Canis lupus familiaris: one gene and its partner. The protein of the gene in region 1 interacts with the protein of each later gene in a pairwise test. Links are inferred from orthologs where the notes say so. Each region holds a gene or a part of one and is shown in the gene's direction. Other genes may lie near its edges.

Evidence for each region.
Region 2: the proteins of KAT7 (region 1) and NINL interact in a two-hybrid assay, tested with the Homo sapiens proteins (2 studies listed by BioGRID and IntAct). The two-hybrid records come from large-scale screens. The link is inferred for Canis lupus familiaris from reciprocal best matches to the Homo sapiens genes KAT7 and NINL.

What each region holds. Positions count from the first base shown.
Region 1 is NC_049230.1:25,823,752-25,826,851, forward strand, and holds the end of KAT7 (histone acetyltransferase KAT7), read left to right. Parts: intron 1-887; coding exon 888-989; 3' UTR 990-2,591; downstream 2,592-3,100. UniProt on the Homo sapiens protein: Catalytic subunit of histone acetyltransferase HBO1 complexes, which specifically mediate acetylation of histone H3 at 'Lys-14' (H3K14ac), thereby regulating various processes, such as gene transcription, protein ubiquitination, immune regulation, stem cell pluripotent and self-renewal maintenance and embryonic development.
Region 2 is NC_049244.1:1,804,548-1,808,065, reverse strand, and holds part of NINL (ninein-like protein), read left to right. Parts: intron 1-446; coding exon 447-576; intron 577-3,518. UniProt on the Homo sapiens protein: Involved in the microtubule organization in interphase cells. Overexpression induces the fragmentation of the Golgi, and causes lysosomes to disperse toward the cell periphery; it also interferes with mitotic spindle assembly.

The sequences.
Region 1 (3,100 bases):
CCCGGGTCTCCAGGATCACACCCTGGGCCCGAAGGCAGTGCTAAACTACTGAGCCACCCGGGCTTCCCAATAGCCTTTACTCCTTAAAGGAGTTTGCCTACATGTATCTTTTACTGGGTCTCGTTCCCTTTTTCTTTTCTTTTCTTTTTTTTTTTTTTTTTTTTGGTATGCTGTGCATCGATGCCTGTTAGGCTTATCTCCTATCTTATCAGAAGCTTTTAGTAAGCTGTCTCAAATTTGGATGGCACAAGTGAAGGAGCTCAGTTAAGCAGATTTGTGTCACACAGTACTTCTGTCATTTATGGTTTTCTTAGATTGGAGCAAATTGCCCATCTGTTAAAGAGGAGTCCTCATTAACTCCAGAGCTTGTGGAAGTGCACATTTTTAAAAATTTTTTTTTTTTAGAGATATTTCTTTAGGGCAAGCAGGGGTCAGGGCAGGTAGCGAGAGAATCTTGCAGACTCCTTACTGAGCATTCAACCTAACTCAGGGCTTGGTCTCATGAGATATTAAGGTCACCACCTGAGCTGAAACCAAGAGTCAGGTGCCCAACCTACAGAGCTGCCCAGGTGCCCCTTGTGGTGGAGGTGTTTGAAATTCCTTTAACAAATGTCATCTCAACCAATGCCCAAATTCAACTTGTTTAAGTGGACTCATGTTTAAGGGAAGGTGAATAATGATTTTCACTTCTTTCTGAGGAACACAGAAGAAATGGATTGTAGGGGAAAGCATTTTCTAAATCAAAAGAGAAGTTTTAATACCTGCTTCACACCTTAGTATATTATTAAACCTTTGATTCCTTCTTCACTAACAAGCATTTTGGAATCCATATATAAAGGTATTTTCATTGAATGTGTATAGTCATTTTTCCTATTGTTCTCCCGCAGGACCTGATTGATGAGTGGATAGCCAAAGAGGCCAAAAGATCTAACTCCAATAAAACCATGGATCCAAGCTGTTTAAAATGGACCCCTCCCAAGGGCACTTAAAGTGACCTGTTACTCTGAGCCAGCGAACCCCAGCAGTAGGAATCCGTACCCTAGGGATCTGTCTGTCATTTCTGTTGCTCTTGTGATTGGCAAGTACAGTATCCTTTGGGAAGGCCATCCCCCTCAGGACTGTCCTGGCTCCGACCCTCGTGTACACTGCAGACGCTGGTTCTGAGGAACTGTTGTTTCGGCCTCAGTGAGGTTGCCTGGATGGGATCGCTGTTTAGACTTGAGTGCAGATCCCTCGTAGCACTGACCCAAGGTGTTCTGTTTGGTACTGTACCTGTCCAGTCACTGGTTCTCCTCATGTCCTCTAGCCCCATGAGGTTGTGTTGTGTCTTCTAAACTTTGTACTAGTGCTTCTTGCTGCCCGGATACCAGACTTCAAACCATGGTTGCCACCACCAGGACCTTTCCAATTACTCCTTACATGCGGTTTTTTTGGAAGAGCAGGGAAGAGGTAACATTTCTGAGTGTGTGTACTAGGAGGGGTCCATTCCCTTTGGATTTTATCTCACTTGAAATTTTTTCTGCCATTTTTATTGAAAGGCCGGTTTTTGATCCGTGTCAAGCTGACAAGAGACCAATATTTTTTAAAACTCTCCCATGGATTCGTCTTGGTAACTGCACATAACTTAATCAGAATGAAATGGAGAGAATTGACAGGTGGTGATTCTGTAATTTGATTTGAGTTCACCTGTGGGCATCGTGTGTCAGTGGAAGGAAACCAGTCCTCATTGCCTCACCAGAAAGTGCCCAGCCCTAAATGTTTTCCTCTCTCGTAAGCCCTTGCTCCTTTTTACATTGGCAGGGGCTAAACAGTGTCCGGTTCTCCCTTTCATGCTGCATGCTAACCAGTTCATCAGACTGCAGAACCTACCCCCCGCCCCCCACTGTACCTGCCAGTCTCATCTGGCACACCTGTATTTTTGCATTGATTTTTTTTTTTTTTTTTTTTTTTTTGCCTAAACCTCCTTGGAGAAGTAGGAAATGAGTGCACATGACTTCCAGATCTCCTCTAAGCCCATGACTCAGCAAGGCAGAGTGCCACCCCCTCCCAGTGTTTGCTTCTCTGACAGTGCCTCGCCCTCCCTCTTGAACTGAAGTGCTCCTGCCCTTCCAAGAACTCCTCCTCCATTTCCTTTTTGGGATTTGCCACCATTCCCCCTGTTCTCTGCTCTATTTTTGGTTTCAAGCAAAGGAAGAAATGCTCCCTCTAATTTCTCTCCAGCCCATTATAACCTGCTATCTTGGGGCAGCTTTTGATGTATGACATGCCACCCTTCCCAACTTGGTCTCCTCCAACACTGCTGTCTTCGTGTGGAGCCCTTCCCACAATCCCGACTCTGGTCATTTGTGCCTTTCTCTTGTCATCTGTGTACACTACTTATACTCCCTGTGGGTTGGGGGGAGCTAATTTTAAGCATGTTCAGTGGCAGCTCCCTGCCAGTTTCAGTGTCACTGTTAAAGTTTATCCAAAAGCAACTTCACTGGGGGTTTTCTTAAGGGGTAAAGGTCTTTTACCGAAGCTAACCCTTCCCCACATGTGGTAGAATGTGCTGTTCTATATCTACTCCTCAATAAAGCATGTTCTCTGCTCAAGCCTGTTTCATTCAGGAACTCTTCTTTGTGTCTGAAAAGGGTGCAGCTGACCTGCTACTAATAGTGAGTACACCTGGGGTTTACTTTCCTCAGCAGTGAGCTGGTTGTTAAGGGATGTGGTTTGTGGCTGTGGAGGGTTTTTTTTTTTTTTTTTTTTTTTTCTGTGATGCAGGCTATCTATAGAGGGAGTGATTATTATGAACTTGTCTAGTTGGTAGGACAAATTCTGCCTCTCTTGGTTGTGACTAATAGATATGCATAACAATGACTAGTAAATATTCCTTACTTTTTTAAAACCTGTATGCCCAACATGGGGCTTAAAGTCACAACCCTAGGATCAAGAGTCCTGTGCTCTTCCCACTGAACTCAACCCCATGCCTCAGTGTTAATTCATCCCTAAGTTCATTTTCTTGTGATTTCAAGGGCAAAGGTACCAGCAGAAAGGATCTGAAAGCCCTTGCATTAACCTGTAACATTTACCCAGTGCAGGAAAAGGGAGGCTGACACTT
Region 2 (3,518 bases), on another chromosome or scaffold:
TGCAGAGGACAGAATCCCGGGACACATCCCAAGACTTGCTGCATCACACCCACGGCACAGCACCACTGTGCTCTTACACAGAGCACCTGGGGTTTCAGATGTTGATGGTTCTCTGTATTCTCTATGTTTCTTCTCAGTTTCTACTCCACTCTGTGTGCATGTGTGTGTGTGTGAGAGAGGGGGGAGAAAGAGAGAGAGAGAGAGAGAGACCGCCCCTTCCGTATATCGGGTGGTTGAAAGTGGCACAGGGCATTAGCAAGTCAAGAGCATTGCTTTGGTTTGGTTCATGGGTCATTAGGAAACTAGAATGCAGGTTGAGTGTGGTATGCTGGAAGGCAGGACCTGACACCTGGCTGCCCACTTGGGGGGTTGGCTCCACTGCTCTGCTCCCCATGGCTCCTCAGGTGGCCGCAGTGGCTGCAGGGGTGTCTGGCTCTACTCTGCAGGACCTGCAGGACCGCAACGACGAGCTGCTGGCTGCACTGGAAGGCCTGCGGGCACAGCTGCCCTCAAGTTGGCATGGCCGGCCCCATGCACAGCCAGAGGAACAGCTGCTCCCTGGACACGGCCCAGCAGGTAGGAGCCCAGTCCTGGGAGGTGACAGATTGTGCGCTCCCACTCTGGGGGACCAGAGGCCGGTGGCCATGGGGGTCTGTCTGCCCTCACAGCCCAAGCTTCCCCCCTGGCCTAGGCATGGCATGTCAGGCTTCCAAAGGATCACATGCCCTTCAGCCCACCACCCATGGGAGAATGGCCTGTAACCCCAAGTCAGGGATAATACCCAGAGCCCCAAGGGAGGTACAAGAGGGTGAGGTTCTGCCATTTGGGTAGAATGGGAAGGTTAGGATGACCTTGTAGTGACCTCAGGAGAGGCATGTCCTAGTGGGTCTTGGGTCGCAGGAGAGGATCCAGAGATTCCCTAGGGTGAGCGTTCAGCATGGGTCAGATGTAGTCATCTAGGGAAGGGAGGGCTGTGAGTGAGCAGGGCGGTGGTCTCCCAGCCTCGCTCAGATCATCAGGTCTGGTCTTGGGTCTGTGACAGGTCAGAGAGGGAGGACAAATGTCTAAAATGTGTCAGGGACTCCTGATGCTCACAGAGGCCTCATGTGGGCTCTTGCAGACAAAGCTGGTATTTACTGCCTGCATAGTGTGAAAGGGGCTGGGGCACCCTGGAGGGCCCACTCCACCCCACTGTGCACAGAACTGACGCTGAAGGAATTACTTGAGAAAGACCGGGGCTTCACGCTCCTCAGTTCTTCAGCCTCTGAGGTTCAGGACAAACTCCAGCAGGCCCCAATACCCTCTGTGTAAGTGTTATTGGCTGCTTTTAGAGACCAGAATTGGAGGGTGGGGTCCAGATGACACAGCTGTCTTTCAGGTTTCCATGGTCCTTCCAGGACAGGGTGGGTTTGGCTGGTAGCCACCTCTCCTGGCAGTTGTGTAGGGTGAGCACTATGCAGGTTCACATGCTGCATGCGGCTCCCCATGCAGCTCCATGCTCACTGCTGGTGGGGGGCCTGTCAGGGGGCCACTGGGACTGTGTGGCTCCCAGCCACCTAACCGCCTCTACTGACCATATATCATGGCAGAGTCAGCCTCTTAGAGCTCCCATATTGTCCTAAACCTGTTTACTTAATAAAACAGGAAAAAGGGGGGGGACACCTTGGTGGCTCACTCGATTAAGACTCTTGATTTCGGTTCAGGCCATGATCTCAGGATCATGAGATTGAGCCCTGCGTTGGGCTCTGCCCTTAGCACAGAGTCTGCTTGAGTTTCTCTCCCTCTCCCATTGCCCCTCCCCTGTTCTCTCTCTCTCTCTCTCTTGTTTTTTTAAAAGATTTTATTTATTCATGAGAGACACAGAGAGAGAGAGGCAGAGACACCAGCAGAGGAAGAAGCAGGCTCCCTGCAGGGAACCCGATGCAGAATTCCATCCCAGGACCCCGGGATCACACCCTGAGCCGAAGACAGACGCTCAACCGCTGACCCACCCAGGCATCCCTCTCTCTCTCTCTCAGATAAAATAAAATAAAGTCTTTTTTTTAAAAAAGAATAAAGTTTTTACCTAAGAGAGCCAACATGGGAACCAAGTGAGGCTTTCTGTGTGCTGAGTCCAACTTGCTCAGTCCCTTAAGGGGACCCCCACAGCATCTTTAGTGGAGTCTCATGACTTCCGACAGCGGCAGTCCTGACTGTCCTCAGTTGGACGTGTTGGCGTAGGGCCAGCACACTGGATGGTATCACATTCCCAGATGAGGTGGATAGCCTGGCCAAAGGGAGATGATTGTTAACCTCCCTTTGTCCCTGGAGGAGGTGGGACTCTTGTCAAGACTACGGACTCCTAGCCCAGGGAGTAGCAGAGCTAGGGACCTGTACCTGGGATGGCTGTTGTCCAGAAGACCTTGGGCTGTGGCACCAGAAGGTGCCCCGGGCTTTATGTCATCACTGATCTCCCTTTCCAGGGCCCTTGCCCTTCACCTTTGTCTCCCACCATTCCCCCATCTGACCACAGAGGTTCCACCAGTCACTTCACAGAAGGAGGGGTCTGTCTGCTGCCTGGGAGTTTTGGTAGAAGGGCTGTGTGGATGATGACGGCCGTGCCGTCCGTGCTCCAGCTGGAGCTCTCCCACCGGCGCCCGTTCACCTGGGTCTGCTCGGCCAGAACCAGGCCGCAGCTCCAGGTTACAGGGCAGCAGGGGCTGCTTTCTTTCTTGAAGTGCTTATCGTGACTTCTCTCGGCCACACGGCCCTCACTCTGTTGATTTTTTTCATAGCAAATTGTTAAGGGCTGTGTCATCTCCCTTCACTTGCCCAGCCCCAGACCCACATAGAGAACACCTGAGCTATGTCTGAATTCGCATCCTAAGCTGACCGCTGGGCATGGTGCTGGGAACACCTGGTGCTCTGGGGGTGCTCAGGCACTTGGGTCTCCACGAGCTCCTCGCAAAATGAGCTGCAAGGACACCTGACATTGTCAGTGGGGTCACCCACATCCTCTGTCTCGTGAGCTGTCAGAACTTTTGCTCTCTATTTATGCCTAACTCATTTGTTGAAACCCCATGTTATTATCATGTAATAGTAGGTAACAGAGCCTCCAGGAAAAGGGCAGAGTTAAAATAAAAAGGTTGAAGAACTAAGGCCCGTAGTGCCTCGTCATAAAGCACCACACTTGTTCCCCTGTCTTCACAGTTTATGTGTCTGGTGTTGTCGGGGAACAGAATTCAGGGGTCATGAGCATGTGGCCTCTTTTAGGGAATCTGGGGGCCTGACATCTTGCAGGGAGCCTCTGGGGTGTATCTCTGAGTAATTTGTGTTCTGGCGAAGACTGGGAGTGCTGATTCCCAAAGAGCTCCAACCTTGAGGGCTCAGCGTAATAGATTGTGCATGGGAACCCCCAAGGGCCGGCTCTCTGCCAGCAATGCATTCCTCTTCCACAAAGGGCCGTGGGGGGCCGTGGGGGGCCAGGGGTGAGGTGGAGGAAGATTAAATACTCGGTGCCGGCCAATGTCAGACGGGAG